Linked DNA regions of Anolis sagrei. Each later gene encodes a partner of the first gene's protein in a complex. Links are inferred from orthologs where the notes say so. Each region holds a gene or a part of one and is shown on either strand. Other genes may lie near its edges. The genes, in order: PRKG1 and CNN1.

What was found.
Region 2: PRKG1 (region 1) and CNN1 share a complex: the UniProt entries of both Homo sapiens proteins name them as parts of the cGMP kinase signaling complex. The link is inferred for Anolis sagrei from reciprocal best matches to the Homo sapiens genes PRKG1 and CNN1.

What each region holds. Positions count from the first base shown.
Region 1 is NC_090023.1:181,874,119-181,884,153, forward strand, and holds the start of PRKG1 (cGMP-dependent protein kinase 1), read right to left. Parts: upstream 4,246-10,035; 5' UTR 3,931-4,245; coding exon 3,560-3,930; intron 1-3,559. UniProt on the Homo sapiens protein: Serine/threonine protein kinase that acts as a key mediator of the nitric oxide (NO)/cGMP signaling pathway. GMP binding activates PRKG1, which phosphorylates serines and threonines on many cellular proteins.
Region 2 is NC_090022.1:163,337,579-163,347,540, forward strand, and holds the start of CNN1 (calponin-1), read right to left. Parts: upstream 4,166-9,962; 5' UTR 4,039-4,165; coding exon 3,976-4,038; intron 1-3,975. UniProt on the Homo sapiens protein: Thin filament-associated protein that is implicated in the regulation and modulation of smooth muscle contraction. It is capable of binding to actin, calmodulin and tropomyosin. The interaction of calponin with actin inhibits the actomyosin Mg-ATPase activity.

The DNA.
Region 1 (10,035 bases):
AATACTGTAAAGAATCTTTTGTAAGGCAAGATACCCTTAGTGTCCTGCAAAAGGAAAGAGAGAAGCCACTTCCATACTGCCCTTCATCCCAGGATCCGTTCCAAGATTATCTGACAGTGTAGACTCCTATAAGGTAAAGGCTTCCCCAGACTTTGTCTAGTCACATCCGACTCTGGGGGTAATGCTCATCCCCATTTCTAAGCCAAAGAGCCAGCATTGTCCGTAGACGCCTCCAAGGTCATGTGGCCAGCATGACTGCACGGAGTGCTGTTATCTATTGATCTAGTCACATTTGCATATTTTCAAACTGCTAGGTTGGCAGAGGCTGGGGCTAACAGCAGGAGCTCACCCCATCCCGAGGATTCAAACCACCAACCTTTCGGTCAGCAAGTTCAGCAGCTCAGTGGTTTAACCCACTGCGCCACCAGGAGGCATTTAGACTCATATAACCCAGTTCTAAGCATATACTCTGGGACCATATCCTGGAATATAACGCAGTGTAGATCCAGCCTCACTGTGTGTGTGTGTTTGTTTGGTTGTGTGTATTTATATATATACACATACATACAAAGAGGTGTCCAAGAGTTCCTTCTAAGGAATGTTTATAAAATATTGTAAGGAATCTTTTGTAAGTCAAGGTACCCCAAGTCACCCTATGTGTGGGACTACAAAAGGGCCAAGAGAGAGGACACTGCCCTATATCCCAGGATCTGATCCCAGATTATCTGGGAGCATAGACTCATATAACCAAGTCCAAAGCAAATACTCTGGCATAAGATCCCGGGATATAGGGCAGTGTAGCTCCAGCCTCTCTCTGTGCGTGTGTAGAGAGAGGGGGGAAGGGTGGCCAAGAGTTCCTTCTATGGAATAGTTTTGTTTGTAAAATCTTGTAAGGAATTCTTTGTAAATCAAGGTACCCCCAAGTCTCCCTATGAGTGGGACTGCAAAAGAGCACTGCACTATATCTCAGGATTTGACTTCAGATTATTTGGCTGTGTAGACTCATATAACCTGGCCCAAAGCATATACGTTGGGATCAGATCCTGGGATATAGGACAGTGTAGATCCAGCCTCATTTTGTGTGTAGAGGGGGGGGGGGGGGGATGGCTAAGACTTCCTTCTAAAAATAAGGGGTTTTTTTTTTTGTAAAATACTAAAATTGGCTAAAAGGTCCTTCTAAGGCAGTGGTTCTCAACCTGGGGTCCCCAGATGTTTTTGGCCTTCAACTCCCAGAAATCCTAATAGCTGGTAAACTGGCTGAGATTTCTGGGAGTTGTAGGCCAAAAACATCTGGGGACCCCAGGTTGAGAACCACTGCTCTAAGGAATAGTTTTTTGTTTTGTTTTGTTTTTTGCAAAATATTGTAAGGAATCCTTTGTAAATCAAGGTACCCTCAAGTCTCCCTATGTGTGGCACTGCAAAAGGGCACACTGGACTATATCTCAGGATCTGACTTCAGATTATCTGACTGTGTAGACTCACATAATCCTGTCCAAAGCATATACTTTGGGATCAGATCCTGGAATATAGGGCAGTGTAGATCCAGCCTCACTCTGTGTAGAGAGAGAGAGAGAGAGAGAGAGGAGGAGAGGGGTGGCCAAGAGTTCCTTCTATGGAATAGTTTTGTTTGTAAAATATTGTAAGGAATCCTTTGTAAATCAAGGTACCCCCAAGTCTCCCTATGCGTGGGACTGCAAAAGCGCACTGGACTATATCTCAAGATCTGACTTCAGATTATCTGGCTGTGTAGACTCATATAATCCAGTTCAAAGCATATACTGAGATATAGGGCAGTAGATCTCCCTATGTGTGGGACTGCAAAAGGGCACTGCACTATATCTCAGGATCTGACTTCAGATTATCTGGCTGCAGGGGCGGCTCATCCATTACGCGAAGTAAGCGGTCGCAGAACACTTTTTTTTGCCAGGGGCGCCGAGGCACCTCTGTAAATGCCCCTCGACCACCACTTGAGGAGCACCCCCTCAGCTCACAACAGCCATAGCAGTCCGGGGGGAGCCTCGGCTTTCTTGCCTCACTGCTGGGAGATCCTCATCCCAAAGGGGCCGGGCCCTTGACCCTCGCCTCGCCCTGCTCGTTCCTGCTCCACCCGGCTACCGGATGCATGAGCAGCGCCGGCGCTCAATCATTCTCCGCGTTCGATCCCTTCCCCATGACCGGCTCCCTTTCCCGATCCCCCAGCGCTCCACTCGCCTCCTCTCCTCTCCCCAATCCGTGGGTGGGCCAAGGGGGGGAGCCGCCGCACCTGGCCCGCTTTGGGTCCGGAGGCGTGTCTGAAGACCCCAGCATGTGCACCAAAAGTTGCCTCTTCTCCTGACTTTCTCTTTAGCCATTGGGACCAAGAGAGAGAGAGAGAGAGAGAGAGAGAGAGCCCCTCCGGCTGGAGGTATCTCCCACCTCTGCTTCCTCCTTTGTTTTTGCGCCTACTTTCAGGAAAGGTGGGCATCTCCACCTCTCTCTCTCTCTCTCTCTCTCTCTTGGTCCCAATGGCTGAGGAGAAAGTCAGGAGAAGAGGTGACTTTTGGTGCACACGCTGGGGTCTTCAGGCACGCCTCCGGACCCAAAGCGGGCCAGGCAAGGGAGCAAGTGCAGCAAGTGTAGTTACTGGGATGTATAGTTCACCTACAATCAAAGAGCATTCTGAACTCCACCAATGATGGGATTGAACCAAATATGGCACGCTGAACTCCCATGACAAACAGAAAATATATATCAATGCTTGGTTGGGGGGGGGGGGCGCCAAAATACTGTTTGCTTACCGTTGAAAATTACCTAGGGCCGCCTCTGTCTGGCTGTGTAGACTCATATAATCCCGTCCAAAGCATATACTTTGGGATCAGATCCTGGGATATAGGGCAGTGTAGATCCAGCCTCACTGTGTGTGTGTGTGTGTGTAGAGAGAGAGAAGGGAAGGGTAGCCAAGAGTTCCTTCTATGGAATAGTTTTGATTGTAAAATATTGTAAGGAATCCTTTGTAAATCAAGGGACCCCCGAGTCTCCCTATGAGTGGGACTGCAAAGAGCACTGCACTATATCTCAGGATTTGACTTCAGATTATCTGGCTTTAAAGACTCATATAATCCAGTCCAAAGCATATACTGAGATATAGGGCAGTGTAGATCTCCCTATGTGTGGGACTGCAAAAGGGCACTGCACTATATCTCAGGATCTGACTTCAGATTATCTGGCTGTGTAGACTCATATAATCCAGTCCAAAGCATATACTGAGATATAGGGCAGTGTAGATCTCCCTATGTGTGGGACTGCAAAAGGGCACTGCACTATATCTCAGGATCTGACTTCAGATTATCTGGCTGTGTAGACTCATATAATCCCGTCCAAAGCATATACTTTGGGATGAGATCCTGGTATACAGGGCAGTGTAGATCCAGCTGTGTGCGCCTGAAGGTGGCTCTGGGGAATGTGGGCGCAAAGTGATTGTAGAGGAAGGAGAGATGGGGGGGAAGCCAGACAAGACACAGACACAGAGAGAGACACACAGAGACAGAGACAGGGACCCCTCGAGGCGGTGGGTGCTTACTGCGGGCTCTTGGGGTAGAAGGGCAGGGTGACGTGGCTGAGGTCCTGGAGGTCGAAGGCGGTGGGCTCGGCGGAGATGGCCTGCCGCTTGGTCCGCTGCTCGCCCCCTCCTCCTCCGCTTCCTCCTCCTCCTCCTCCACCCCCACCGCCTCCTCCTCCTCCCCCGGGCAGGGCTCCAGCGGCCCCCTGGTGCGCCTGCTGGGTGGCCGGCCGGATCACGGAGCGGTACTTGTCCAGCTCGTTCTGGAGCCGCTGGATGAGCTCGTCCTTCTGGTCCAGCTCCAGCTCCAGCTCGTCGATGAGCGCGTCCCGCTGGCGGAGCTCCTCGATCTTCTCTTGCAAGGCGTACTGCAAATCCCGCAGCGTCCCCATCCTCGAAGGGAGCCGCCAACGCCGCCGCCGCCGACGGAGCCACCTCTCCCCCTCCGCCTCGTCCCACTTCGCGCCAACTTTGCCTGTTGGACTGTTGCTGCTACTCGCCGCTTCCTAGGGGAAGGGAGCCCCCATCCTGGGGAGAAGCCCACCACCCTCCTCCTCCTCCTCCTCCTCTCCGCCTGCTTGCCTGCGTCAGGCCACCAGACTGGAGAGAGACGGAGAGTGAGGAGGGAGCGCGAGGGGCGTCTGCAGCATGCCGCCGCTTTCTCTCTCCCTCCGCCGCCGCCGCCGCCGTTCCGCTATCCCGCCCGCGCCCCCGCCTCTCTTCTTCTTTCTCCTCCTCCTTCTCCTCAGCTGTTACGGCCGCCCCTCTTTCTCCCACCCCCCTTCTCCTCCTTCCTCCGCACAACTCAGCCTCGTAAGAAGAAGAAAAAGGAGGGAGAGGGCTGCATTCCGGGCGCCTTCCTGGCCCCCCAAAGACGGCGCGCGCCGCTTGTTGTGTTGCGTGTTTTCCCGCCGAAGCACGCGCTCTCTTCCGTCTCAGAGGAGAGAGAGAGATCAACCCTTGGAGAGTTCGAAGCGCGCGCGCGCTCGCTCGCGGTGGGGGGGGGAGGGGGAGAGGAGGCGCGGGGGCTTCTTTCCCTCTTCCCAGTCTTCTCTGACAGACTTTAATTTTTGGCGGGAAGTCGGCTTGAGCGCCTCACAAACAGTCCAAAAAACATACACACAACAGAACGTGCGTTAGCTGTCAAGCACAGGTGTCTTTCAACCACTCTGGCCCCGCCAATGGGCGCCTCTTCTTTGCAGAATTAGCTGTCCAGCACAGGTCCTGCCAATGGGTGCCCTAGTTCGATGCTATTGACAAACTGGTGGCCCTTCCACTCAGGGCCCTTCCACACAGCCCTTTATCCCAGGATATCAAGGCAGATAATCCCACATTAGGTTGTTGTAGGTTTTTTCGGGCTATAAGGCCATGTTTTAGAGGCATTCTCTCCTGACGTTGCACCTGCAGGTGCTTGTGGATTTCAATGGCTTCTCTGTGTAGTCTGACATGGTGGTTGTTAGCGTGGTCCAGCATTTCTGTGTTCTCAAATAATATGCTGTGTCCAGGCTTCCAACTCTCCAAGGCACTGCAGACTACTTCAACCAGAGAAGTCAGCCATAGCAGAGCACCTGATGAACAACCTGGACACAGCATATTATTTGAGAACACAGAAATGCTGGACCACTCTCACAACCACCATGTCAGACTACACAGAGAAGCCATTGAAATCCACAAGTGTGTGGACAATTTCAACAGAAATGAGGAAACCATGAAAATGAACAAAATGTGGCTACCAGTATTAAAAAAAAACTCTAAAATTAGAACAGCACAACAACAGAGAGGAAACAAACAAGGACATCTAATCACCTCTCAACAAAAGATTGCCTCAGTCATTGACAGGCCATCAAATGCTAATCAAGGTGCTCAGTTGAAACATTCACACCTAGCTCCAACAGACAAGAGTTCTTTGTCCCACCCTGGTCATTCCACAGATACATAAACCCACTTCCCTAGTTCCAACAGACCTCACTACCTCTGAGGATGCTTGCCATAGATGCAGGCGAAATGTCAGGAGAGAATGCCTCTAGAACATGGCCATATAGCCCGAAAAAACCTACAACAACCCAGTGATTCCAGCCATGAAAGCCTTCGACAATAAATCCCACATTATCCTAGTGTGGAATCAGATGTTGTTGTTGTTGTTCATTCGTTCAGTCGTTTCCGACTCTATGTGACCTCATGGACCAGCCCACACCAGAGCTCCCTGTCTGCTATCAACACCCCCAGCTACTTCAATGTCAAGCCAGTCACTTCAAGGATACAATCCATCCATCTTGCCCTTTGTTGGCCCCTCTTCCCTTTTCCTTCCATTTTCCCCAGCATAATTGTCTTCTCCAAGCTTTCCTTTCTTCTCACGATGTGGCCAAAGTACTTCATCTTTGCCTCTACTATCCTTCTCTCCAATGAGCGGTCGGGCTTTATTTCCTGAAGTATGGACTGGTTGGATCTTCTTGCGATCCAAGGCACTCTCAGAACTTTCCTCCAACACCACAGTTCAAAAGCATCTATCTTCTTTTGCTCAGCCTTCCCTATCGTCCAGCTCTCACATCCATGGGTGACAATGGGGAATACCATTGCTTTAACTATGCAGATCTTTGTTGCCAGTGTGATGTCTCTGTTCTTCACTATTTTATCAAGATTGGTCATTGCTCTCCTCCTAAGAAGTAAGCGTCTTCTGATTCCTGGCTGCAGTCTGCGTCTGCAGTAATATCTGCACCTAGAAATACAAAATCTGTTGCTGCCTCCACATTTTCTCCCTCTATTTCCCAGTTGTCAATCATTCTTGTTGCCATAATCTTGGTTTTTTTTTTTAATGTTTAGCTGTCACCCAGCTTTTGCGCTTTATTCTTTCACCTTGGTTAGAAGGCTACTCAGCTCCTCCTCGCTTTCGGCCATCAGAGTGGTGTCATCTGTATATCTAAGGTTGTTAATGTTTCTTCCAGCAATTTTCACCCCAGCTTTGCATTCCTCAAGCCCCGCACGTCGCATGATGTGTTCTGCATACAAGTTGAATAGGTTGGGTGAGAGTATGCAGCCTTGCCGTACGCCTTTCCCAATCTTGAACCAGTCTGTTGTTCCATGGCCAGTTCTTACTATTGCTACTTGGTCCTTATACAGATTCCTCAGGAGACAGACAAGGTGATTTGGTATTCCCATATCACCAAGAACTTGCCACAATATATGGCAGTGTGGAATCAGATAACCCAGTTCAAAGCAGATATTGTGGGATTTCCTGCCTTGATATCCTGGGATATATGGCTGTGTGGAAGGGCTCTCAGTCATATAACCCAGAATATCAAGGCAGATAATCCCATAATATTTGCTTCAAACTGGGTTATCCGAGTCCACACAGCCATATAATAAAACAGAAGATCAAGGCAGATAATCCACAATATCCACTTTAAATTGGGTTATCTGAGTCCACGCAGCTATATAATACAGGGCCTTTCCACACAGCAATATAACCCAGAATATCAAGACAGAAAATCTCACAGTGTCTGCTTTGAACTGAATTATCTGTGTCCACGTTGCCATATATTCCAGTTCAAAGCAGAAGATTTGGGATTTTATTCAGCTGTATGGATTTTCTGCCTTGATATTCTGAGTTATATGGCTGTGTGGAAAGGCCCCCAGAATATCAAGGCAGATAATCCGTAATACATGCTTTGAACTGGGCTATCTGGCTCCACACTGTCATTTAATCTACCTCAATGTGGATTTTATAAGGTTATGTGGAAGGGGCCTGGGTGTTGTCATTTTTGCAAGTTCTTCTGAGCATTCTCTACCCTCCTTTTCCGTACTACAACTACTTAAGATTTCATAGCATTGATCAACCATAGCAGTTTAAAAGTGGTGTTCAAACTGCCTTACCTTGATTGAAGCAGAGTTTTCCAAACTAATAGTGTGGTCTGCAGGAAAATGCCAAGAACATTACAGACAGTCTCCGGATTACAAACATCAGACTTACAAGTGGTCCATAGTTAAGAACGGGGGTGAGACAACAAGAAGGGAGAGGAATCTACCCCTCTGAAGGGAAATTCACTTTTGGAAGAGTTAGTTAAAGGTAAAGGTTTTCCCCTGACATTAAGTCCAGTCATCTCTGGGGGATGGTGTTCATCTCAATTTCTAAGCCGAAGAGCCGGCGTTGTCTGTAGACACCTCCAAGGTCATGTGGCCGGCATGACTGCATGGAGCGCCATTGGAAGAGTTATCATGTGGGAAGGCTGTCTCCACTGAAGATGTTTCACCAATCCTTAGTTCCAAAATATTCTCACAGGGACAGAAAGTGAGATTAAATCTTCTGAACAAAGACAGCAAAATAAACCCCAGAGTGTTAACCTTTCCGTATGTTATCCAAAACATGTGTGTGTGGCGGGAGTTACACATTAAAATGTACTTATTTTGACTTACAAACAAATTCAGCTTAGGAACAAACCTATAGAACCCATCTTGTTCGTAACTTGGGGACTGCCAGTCTTTCCAGTCAATAAGAGACATAGAAGGTTAGGACTGATCTGATTTATGAAACCCTTATGGCGCTCTGTAACAACTAATTGACAGCTCTGGGTATAAAAAATTGCACACATACAGCTTAATCCAATCTATATTTCTCACACAGATAATGATCCTGAAAGACAGTGCCTCTGTAACTTCCAAAGACCACGAAAGTTAAGTTTGTTGTTGTTCATTCGTTCAGTCGTCTCCGACTCTTCGTGACCTCATGGACCAGCCCACGCCAGAGCTCCCTGTCGGCCGTTACCACCCTCAGCTCTCTCAAGGTCAGTCCAGTCACTTCAAGGATGCCATCCATCCATCTTGCCCTTGGTCGGCCCCTCTTCCTTTTGCCTTCCACTTTCCCCAGCATAATTGTCTTCTCTAGGCTTTCCTGTCTCCTCATGATGTGGCCAAAGTACTTCAACTTTGTCTCTAGTATCTTTCCCTCCAGTGAGCAGTCGGGCTTTATTTCCTGGAGGATGGACTGGTTGGATCTTCTCGCAGTCCAAGGCACTCTCAGAACTTTCCTCCAGCACCACAGTTCAAAAGCATCGATCTTCCTTCGCTCAGCCTTCCCTAAGGTCCAGCTCTCACATCCGTAGGTGACTACAGGGAATACCATGGCTTTGACTAGGCGGATCTTTGTTGCCAGTCTGATGTCTCTACTCTTTACTATTTTATCGAGATTGGACATTGCTCTCCTCCCAAGAAGTAAGCGTCTTCTGATTTCCTGGCCACAGTCTGCATCTGCAGTAATCTTTGCACCTAGAAATACAAAGTCTGTCACGGCCTCCACGGTTTCTCCCTCTATTTCCCAGTTGTCAATCATTCTTGTTGCCATAATCTTGGTTTTTTTGACGTTTAGCTGCAACCCGGCTTTTGCGCTTTCTTCTTTCACCTTGATTAGAAGGTTCCTCAGCTCCTCCTCACTTTCGGCCATCAGAGTGGTGTCATCTGCATATCTGAGGTTGTTAATGTTTCTTCCAGCAATTTTCACCCCAGCTTTGCATTCATCCAGCCCCGCACATCGCATGATGTGTTCTGCATACAAGTTAAAACGGTTGGGTGAGAGGATGCAGCCTTGCCGTACGCCTTTCCCAATCTTGAACCAGTCTGTTGTTCCGTGGTCAGTTCTGACTGTTGCTACTTGGTCCTTGTACAGATTCCTCAGGAGAGAGACAAGGTGGCTTGGGATGCCCATCCCACTAAGAACTTGCCACAATTTATTATGATCCACACAGTCAAAGGCTTTAGAATAGTCAATGAAGCAGAAGTAGATGTTTTTCTGAAACTCCCTGCTTTTCTCCATTATCCAGCGGATATTGGCAATTTGGTCTCTCGTTCCTCTACCTTTTCTAAACCCAGCCTGAACATCTGGCAACTCTCGCTCCATGTATTGCTGGAGTCTTCCTTGCAGGATCTTGAGCATTACCTTACTGGCATGAGAAATAAGGGCCACTGTACGGAAGTTGGAGCAGTCTTTTGCATTTCCCTTTTTTGGTATGGGGATATAAGTTGATTTTTTCCAGTCTGATGGCCATTCTTGTGTTTTCCATATTTGCTGGCAAATGGCATGCATCACCTTGACAGCATCATCTTTTAAGATTTTAAACAGTTCAGCTGGGATCCCGTCGTCTCCTGCTGCCTTGTTGTTAGCAATGCTTCTTAAGGCCCATTCCACCTCACTCCTCAGGATGTCTGGTTCTAATTCATTCACCACACCGTCAAAACTATCCTCAATATTATTATCCTTCCTATACAGATCTTCTGTATAGTCTCGCCACCTTCTCTTGATCTCTTCAGCTTCTGTTAGGTCCCTGCCATCTTTGTTTCTTATCATATCAATTTTTGTCTGAAATTTACCTCCAATGTTTCTAATTTTCTGGAAGAGGTCTCTTGTCCTTCCTATTCTGTTGTCTTCTTCCACTTCCATGCATTGCTTATTTAAAAATAGTTCCTTATCTCTTCTGGCTAACCTCTGGAATTGCGTATTTAACTGGGCA
Region 2 (9,962 bases), on another chromosome or scaffold:
TGACCCTCTGAAAAAGTATCTAGTATCTTTATTCCAATAGTAAGCATCAATATTTGCCCATGCTCTCTTTCTCTCTCATAGTATAAGATAGGCAGAAGACAATGGGAGAAGAAAAGCCTCCTCCAGTTGAGAGGCTGTGAAATCCTGAATGAGAAGGCTTCCCAAGCAACCCAGAAGCTTCTCGAGGAAGGAGCAGAGGCCAACCCCAGGGATTCCTCTCAAAATGAAGAGAACGAAGTTTGAAGAGTCTGTTCACCTTGTAATTCAAGCCATGGAATGGTCAGACTCTCATCCTTCGCCATCCAAATGGCAACAACAGCCAGACAACTGAAACAGTCATCGCACTATCTCTTGGCGGATATCCTATCTCGGCAACTGTATTGCACACTTATGTGCTTTGGCAACACTTGCTGACCACTGCAAGGTGCTGCAGTGTGTCTTGCCAGCTTCTTGGGATGAACCTAATGAATCTCCTTAGCCCTCAGATACCTAACCTGCAAGGAGGAGAATTGCTTGTCCAAGCAAGAAGTGTGTGGATGCCTAGAAGATGTAGGTTTTGGCCTGGTCAGGGTTGTAGCCATCCAGGGGCGGCTCAACCCATTACTCAAAGTAAGCATTTGCAGTATAGTTGATTTTGCCCAGGGGCGCTCTTGAGGCGCTCTTGGGGGAAGATAGACTTTGACACATGCGAGTTGTAGTTACTGGAATGTATAGTTCACCTACAATCAAAGAGCACTCTGAACTCCACCAATGATGGAATTGAACCAAATATGGCACACAGAACTCCCACGACGAACAGAAAATATATATCAGTGATTGGTTAGGCGGGGGGGGGGGGGGGGGGTGGTGCCAAAATACTGTTTGCTTACCGTTGAAAATTACCTAGGGCCGCCTCTGTAGCCATCTATATCTATATGTATATATCTATATCTATATGTGGGTTGATGATATTGCCCCATCAATAAGATTTTTGCCTCCCTTCATGAAATGTTATTTCAGTCCTCAAATTGCTAGTATTGCAGAGAGCGAGACACTGAAAATCATTTCATAGAATCCTAGAGTTGGAAGAGACCTCATGGGCCATCCAGTCCAACCCCCTGCCAAGAAGCAGGAAAATTGCATTCAAAGCACCCCCGATAGATGGCCATCCAGCCTCTGTTTAAAAGCTTCCAAAGAAGGAGCCTCCACCACACTTCGGGGCAGAGAGTTCCACTGCTGAACGGCTCTCACAGTCAGGAAGTTCTTCCTAATGTTCAGATGGAATCCACTTAGAAATCCTCTGTTTGTTGTGTTGGCATTCACTTGGGAATTGTGCCTGCCCCTTTGCTTTGGATGACTAAACTCTATCTTTAAACTGCTAAACTGAGTTATTGTAATTTGGGTATTGAAGGAAGGAAAATGTCATGTGGGACAACATTCTTATTTGGGGAACAACACCTTGGTTTTAAACCTGCCTCCCCCCAACCCCCCATGCTACCACCATGGATCTGGTCAGTGTGGGATAGAAACCTATCTGAGGTTCTCCTTCTATCTGTGTGAAATACCTCCTGAAGTTTCATTTTCCCCAAACTCCACCATGTTCACATTTGGGCATATTGAGGTTTCATGTAGAGTTTGGTCCAGATCCATCATTGTTTGAGTCCACAATGATCTCTGGATATAGGTGAACTACAACTCCAAAACCAAAGGACATTGCCCACCAAACCCTTCCAATATTTTCTGTTGGTCAGGGGAGAACTGTGTGCCAAGTTTGGTTCAATTCCATCGTTGGTGGGGTTCAGAATGCTCTTTGATTGTAGTTGAACTATAAATCCCAGCAACTACAACTCTCAAATGACAAAATCAATGTTTTTGAGTGAAGAACATACATTGGGTTGTTAGGTGTCTTGTGTCCAAATTTGGCGTCAATTCGTCCAGTGGTTTTTGAGTTCTGTTAATCCCACAAACGAACATTACATTTTTACTTATAAAGACTAGCTGTCCCCTGCCACGCGTTGCTGTGGCCCCGGTCTGTGTATGTATATATATTTGTGTATATGTGTATATATATGTGTGTGCGTGTGTGTGGTTATGCGCATGCGTTGTAATTTTTTTTTTTTGCTTTTTAAGTCTCTTCCACTGTGTTTTTCAGTGTTTTTATGAGTGATAGTCACTCGTTGGCCTCATACGTGTCTTGTGTCCAAATTTGGTGTCAATTCACCCAGTGGTTTTTCAGTTATGTCAATCCCACAAACGAACATTACATTTTTATTTATATAGATGTCTTGTAAGGATTAATGAGTCTGAAAGAATGTTTGTGAATCAGTTTGAACATGTGTGTTCCAAGAATAATACTTTGCTTTCGTTTGATGCCTTGAATCCACTTACAGCAAACTAGCTTTTGGTGCCTCCGACTCCTTCAGGAAAATAGGATCGTCCCAGGCTGTTATCTATGCCTAAATAGTGTTGAGGCACCAGTTCTTGTCTGATCTTGGAAACTAAGCAGAGTCAGCCCTGAGTAATATCTTGATGGGAGATGACCAACGAACACCAGGTGCTACATGAAGGAACTGTCAAAACCATATGAATATTCCTGGCCTAAGAAAACCCTAGTAAACTCATGGGGTCACCATAGGTGGACAGGTGACTTCAAGGTAAACACACATGCTTGGGAGTGATCCTGGACTCATCACTGAGCCTGGAACCCCAGGTCTCGGCGGTGGTCGGGAGACCTTTTGCACAATTAAAACTTGTGCACCAGTTGCGCCCGTACCTTGGGAAGTCTGATCTGGCCACAGTGGTCCACGCTCTCATTACATCCCGAATAGATTACTGCAACGCACTCTACTTGAGGTTGCCTTTGAAGACTGTTCGGAAACTTCAATTAGTCCAGCGGGTAGCAGCTAGATTACTCACCGGAGCATCATACAGGGAGCATACCACCCCTCTGTTATGTCAGCTCCACTGGCTGCCGATCCACTTCCGAGCACAATGCAAAGTGCGGGTTTAGACCTATAAAACCCTATATGGTTCTGGCCCAGCGTATCTGTCCGAACGCATCTCCCTCTACGTCCCGCCTCGGAGTTTAAGATCTTCTGGGGAGGCACTGCTCTTGGCCCCACCTCTATCACAAGTGAGATTGGTGGGGACGAGGAGCAGGGCCTTCCCAGTGGTGGCCCCTCACCTGTGGAACTCACTCCCTGGGGAAATTAGGTCATCAACATCCCTCCTCTCCTTTAGAAGGAAATTAAAAACATGGATTTGGGACCAGGCCTTCGGGTAATCTGGCGGATAGATAAGGGACAAGTGACGACTAGAATTGATGGATTGGACAATATGGAATTTGAATTTACGGACTCTGAGCTGATAAACGTTGAGCACTAGATTGTTTTTAGGGATTGTGATGTAAAATGGATTGTTTTAATTACTATTTATATGTGTTATTTTTCACCTTGTTGTTCTGCCGGCGTCAAATTGTGCCTTTTTGTAAGCCACCCTGAGTCCCCCCTCGGGGGTTGAGAAGGGCTGGGTAGAAGTGCGAGAAATACATAAATAAATAAAAATTTGTAAAAAGAGCTACACAAATTCTACCTGTTATATTAACATTGACTTTGTTCACTCCAAAACATTTTAGCCAAAACTCTGACATATTCATCACTCAGAATTATTATGTGAATGTGTGGCCTTTTTTTGTCCGGTTCACGTTGGTTTCCCACACAATGCCTTGGATTATAACCCCCATCACTCCCAGTCACCTAGCCTTGGATGATGGAGATGTAGCTGAAAATATTTGGACAGCACCATAAGACTGATGCCAGCCAGTACCTACCAAGAAAGACCATGGCACGCACTTAGGTGCCCTAGACTTGCGGGCATCCTGATACCACTAGATCCGCAAGCCAACTGGTACTGTCCCCATCCTCTCAATCAAGAACCACCTTCCCATGGAGTGAACTCCCAGTGCTAGGTCAGCACCTCCAGCAGTACTTCCCTTACCTTATTCTTGACTTCAGCTGACATGCCATAGGCTGGGCCCCGGTTGAAGTGTGTTGCAGACATATTGCCCACGTGTGGTGCTGGTGGCAGTGATGGTGCTGCTCCTCAGTGGGGTTGGGTGCTCTCCGTGGTGCACGTCGGCTCTGCCTCTCCACCGGCTTTCCCTGCAACTTTTAAAAACTCATTGCTCTCCGGCTCTCCCCCTCCTCCTATCTGAGGGGGAGTCCTTCCATTGGCCCGGCTGCGTGGCCAATCGCCACCTGCCAGGGATGCTGATGTCAGCCTGTTGGTATTAAGAAATGATGGTGTCATTTTTTCCACCTTGGAGGGGGTGCTGTGGGGTTGGGGGGGGGACACATATCCACTTCTGCTGCTGACTCAATTCCCTGAGATATTCTAAATATTTACAGGAGCCCGAATCTGTGAGAAGTGGGGAAGCAGTGATGGGATGGGACCAGTTGGCAGAGCATCCCCAGCCCATAGCTCTCCCCCTGCCCCTTGTGGCACTGCCCCCTGCCCCTCTCACTCCACTACTTCTGTGTCTTCCCCAGCTTTCTGCTTCTGTGTGGCTGTTCATCTGTGGGGAAGCCCCCCTTCTCTTTCAGCATCTTTCCCAAGGAAAGCATCTACGCCACTCACTTTCCTTTTTTTTCATGCCTCAAAACCGCAAAAGAACAAGCTAGAAAATTCGAGTCCAGTCACTCAGGGGGAAGCGCTTTGTTGGCTGTCTGGCCAGGCCTCCCTGGACTTTTCTGCACCAGTTCCCTTTGCCTCGTCATCTTGTTTGGTTTTTTTTCAACTCACATGTTGCTTTGGCAGCTGGTAGGGCTCCGTTTCTTTTCCTGCAAAGAACTTTCCCCAAAGTTTCTGCATGGAACAGTTTAACGTGACACTTTCCCCCTAAACAGATCTGACTGTCGACTTCAAGAGTCTGATATTTCTAGATAAGAAATCCTTGCTGAATGTAGCTTAGCTCTTGCTGCTGAGAATTCAGATGGGGGGGGGGGGGGGTTGAGGGTATGTGAACCAACAAACATTCCTGGCCAAAAGAGCTTGTTGAGATATCTGTGGTCATTTCACAGATTTTGTTGTTCATTCGTTCAGTCGTCTCCAACTCTTCGTGACCTCATGGACCAGCCCACGCCAGAGCTCCCTGTCGGCTGTCACCACCCCCAGCTCCTTCAAGGTCAGTCCAGTCACTTCAAGGATGCCATCCATCCATCTTGCCCTTGGTCAGCCCCTCTTCCTTTTACCTTCCACTTTCCCCAGCATAATTGTCTTCTCTAGGCTTTGCTGTCTCCTCATGATGTTGCCAAAGTACTTCAACTTTGTCTCTAGTATCCTTCCCTCCAGTGAGTGGGCTTTATTTCCTGGAGGATGGACTGGCTGGATCTTCTCGCAGTCCAAGGCATTCTCAGCACTTTCCTCCAGCACCACAGCTCAAAAGCATCGATCTTCCTTCGCTCAGCCTTCCCTAAGGTCCAGCTCTCACATCCGTAGGTTACTACAGGGAATACCATGGCTTTGACTCTGCGGATCTTTGTTGCCAGTCTGATGTCTCTACTCTTTACTATTTTATCGAGATTGGACATTGCTCTCCTCCCAAAAAGTAAGCGTCTTCTGATTTCCTGGCCACAGTCGGCATCTGCAGTAATCTTTGCACCTAGAAATACAAAGTCTGTCACAGCCTCCACATTTTCTCCCTCTATTTTCCAGTTGTCAATCATTCTTGTTGCCATAATCTTGTTGCCATAATGCCATAATTACACAGATATATAAACCCATTTTCCTACTTTCAGCAGACCTCACTACCTCTGAGGATGGTTGCCATAGATGCAGGCGAGACGTCAGGAGAAAATGCCTCTAGAACATGGCCATATAGCCCAGAAAAACTTACAACAACCCAGTGATTCCAGCCATGAAAGCCTTCGACAATACATTGTTGAGATGTGTTTTCAAAAGCACGTGGTGCCTGCTGCGAAAATATTTAAAATGTGCATTTAATATGGCATGCTTTTAAAGAAAAAGATGGACCACTTTCAGGATGACAGGAGACAGAAATGGGGAATTAGAACCTTTTTGCTAAGGAGCAGCAGTACTTTTAGCAAGTGTAAGAACACCCTTCCCATTAAATAAACACTAATCTATATAAATAAAAATGTAATGTTTGGGGGAAATAGACCTTGACATAGAATCATAGAGTTGGAAGAGGGAGCCTCCACCACCCTCTGGGGCAGAGAGTTCCACTGCTGAATGGCTCTCACAGACAGGAAGTTCTTCCTCATGTTCAGATGGAATATCCTTTCTTGTCTATATAAATAAAAATGTAATGTCCATTTGTAGGATTAACAGAACTCAAAAACCACTGGACAAATTGACACTAAATTTGGACAGCATAAACCTAACAACCCAATGTATGTATTTCACTCAAAAAATTTGATTTTGTCATTTGGGAGTTGTAGTTGCTGGGATTTATAGTTCACCTACAATCAAACAGCATTCTGAACTCCACCAATGATGGAATTGAACCAAATGTGGCATACAGGACTCCAATGATCAACAAACAACACTAGAAGTGTTTGGTGGACATTGGCCTTGAGTTAGGGAGTTGTAGTTCACCCGCATCCAGAGAGCACTGTGGACTTAAACAATGATAGATCTGGACCAAACTTGGCACAAATATTCCATATGTCAAAATATGAACACAGATGGAGTTGGGGGGAAATAGACATTGACATTTGGGAGTTGTAGTTACTGGGATTTATAGTTTACCTACAATCAAAGAGCGTTCTGAACCCCACCAACAGAATTGGGGCAAACATCCCACACAAAACCCCCATGACCAAGAGTCCACAGTGCTCTCTGGATGTAGGTGAACTACAACTCCCAAACTCATCAATGCCCGCCAAACCCTTCTAGTGTTTTCTCTTGGTCATGGGAGTTCTGTCTGCCAAGATTGGTTCAGTTCCATCATTGGTGGAGTTCAAAATGCTCTTTGATTGTAAATAAACTATAAATCCCAGCAACTACAACTCCCAAATGACAAAATCAATTTTTTTGAGTGAAGGACATACATTGGGTTGTTAGGTGTATGCTGTCCAAATTTGGTGTCAATTTGTCCAGTGGTTTTTGAGTTCTGTTAATCCCACAAACAAACATTACATTTGTATTTATATAGATAAAAAACTATGGATTGCTCTTAAAGAAATGGGTATGCCCTAACATTTGATTGTTTTGTACTAAAAACAAGAGGCTACTGTTAAGAACAGAATATGGAGCATCTGAATGGCTTCCTGTTTGTAAGGAGCTAAGCCATTTCATCGATTATACTCAAATGCTGAACATAACATATCTAAAGCGAATTAGATGCAGAAGGAGGAGGCATGAATACTTGAGGAAGGAACATCAACAATTTAAGATATGTAGATGATGCAATATTACTAGGAGAAAATAGCAAAGTCTTGGAATGATCACTAAAGAAAGAAAGTGCAATGGCAGGTTTATAGCTCAACATTAAGAAAATAAAAATGATTTATATACCTTTAAAGTAGACAGGTGTTGGAATAATTCAAGTTTTTCCACACCTTGGCTCAGTCATTAATCAGAATGGAGGCTGTAGTTGAGAAATTGGAAGGCCAACTATAAAAAAATTAGACAAGATCTTGAAGGATATATATCATAGAATACTAAAGTTAGGATTGTCCATGTCTTTGTATTTACCATTTCTATCTATGGTTGTGAAAGCAAGACAGTGAAGAAAGCAGATGGGTAGAACATCAGCTCATATGCAATGTGGTTGTGTAAAAGAGTTCCATGTTACCATGGATTGCTAAAAGGACAAATAAATGGATCCTAGAAAAAAATCTTGAATTCTTTTAGAAGCTAAGATGACTAAACGGAGGATGCGGTACTTCGGTCTATAATGGAAAAGCAAGAAAAGACAATAACACTTGTTAAATAGAAGGTAATCAGAAAAGAAGTGAATAAACTTGATAAGGAAGCCACGGATCTGAGCCTGGAAGACCTGAGCATTGTTGTTGTTGATAAGGTGACCTGGGTTGTATTTTATTGTTTACCTGTGCAGCATTGAATTTTTGCCAGATTTGTAAGCCACCTTGAGTCCTCTTCAGGGTCGAGAAAGGCGGGGTAGAAATGAAGTAAATATGTGATGGCGCGAGTGGCGCCACCTATGTGTAGAACTGTTGCAAGATTTAAACTGTTGTTTATACCTGTATTGTTTGGCTCCGCCTCTTCCTGGAGGAGGGGAGTGCTTCCCTTTTCATTCTGCCATCAGAGTTTCTATCGGATGGACGTGAGTAAGAGACTTGGCTCTAAAAGCCCCTGCTTAAATTACCTCTCAGCAACAGTTCTGAGGTTTTTTACCCTTGAGACTTATGCTTCATGTTCAGACCAACCTGAACGACGTTAGAAGTTTCAAGCGCCTTCAAACCGGTTCTTTTGGCACCAGAGGAAGATCCTGGGTCTTCAAACATAGGCCATTTGAACTGGGGTTGTGGTTTGCTCCGGCATTCACAGCCATTGAGGAAAGAGGAAACAGGAAAAGCTTCTCAGCTACAAACTCCTTGGACTTCAGAGATTGTAAAGTATATTTCCTTTATCCCTGTTGAAACATCAAGCTTATGCCTGAGAAAGATAACTCATTGTGAACAATAAATACCATTTCGAGTTATCTGTTGTGTTTCGGTCTTTGGTAGTTCCAGTTTCCTATAGGAGGGCAAGAAACAATCCCCTGGGGAAAGATGCCACGTCCATGCCTCTCTCATTAAGAGTTATAGCCCCCAGGCTATTTTCCCACTGGAGCGATACCTATTGATCTATTCACATTTGCATGTTTTCGAACTGCTAGGTTGGCAGAAGCTGGGGCTAACAGTGGAAGCTCATGCTGCTCCCTGGATTCGAACCTGTGACCTTTCGGTCAACAAGCTTAGCAACTCAGTGGTTTGAGCCACTGTGCCGCCAGGAGCTCCCGTGATGTCTCTACTCTTCACTATTTTATCGAGATTGGACATTGCTCTCCTCCCAAGAAGTAAACGTCTCCTGATTTCCTGGCTGCAGTCTACGTCTGAAGTAATCTTTGCACCTAGAAATATAAAGTTTGTCACTACCTCAATGTTTTCTCCCTTTATTTGCCAGTTATCAATCAATCTGGTTGCCATAATCTTGGTTTTTTTTATGTTTAGCTGCAACCCAGCTTTTGTGCTGTCTTCTTTCACCTTGATTACAAGGCTCCTCAGCTCCTTCTCACTTTTGGCCATCAAAGTGGTATCATCTGCATATCTAAGGTTGTTAATGTTTCTTCCAGCAATTTTCACCCCAGCCTTGCATTCCTCAAGCCCCGCACATCGCATGATGTGATCTGCATACAAGTTGAATAGGTTGGGTGAGAGGATACAACCCTGTGGTACGCCTTTCCCAATCTTGAACCAGTCTGTTGTTCCATGGTCAGTTCTTACTGTTTCTATTGGTCATTATATGAGGGGTATTTTTTAAGCAAGGTCCGTTTGAACGTAAGTACACAACGAAAGTTTATTTCAAAAAAGTAAATTTATTTTCATAAAGTACATACTTCACTCTATTTTTCGACATAGTTGCCAAGTTTGTTCAAACACTTATCATACCTCTGAACCAATTTTAAAATACCCTCTTCATAAAAACTTGTCGCCTGCTCCGATAACCAAGAGTTCACTGTAATCAGAGAAGGGCGACCGGAGCAGTCCTCATCATGGACGTTGTCACGGCCATCTTTGAATTGTCGTACCCACTTACGGACTTTGCTTTCACTCATAACAGTATCACCGTACACTTCACAAATCTGTCGATGAATTTCTGCAGCAGGCAGGTTCCTTGCTGACAAAAACCGTATCACTGAGCGAACCTCACATGCGGAGGGTGAGTTGATAGTCTTAAACATTTTTAAAGCGCAGGACAGAACCGTACAGGTTAGCTACAAAGCGGAAACTGCGCAC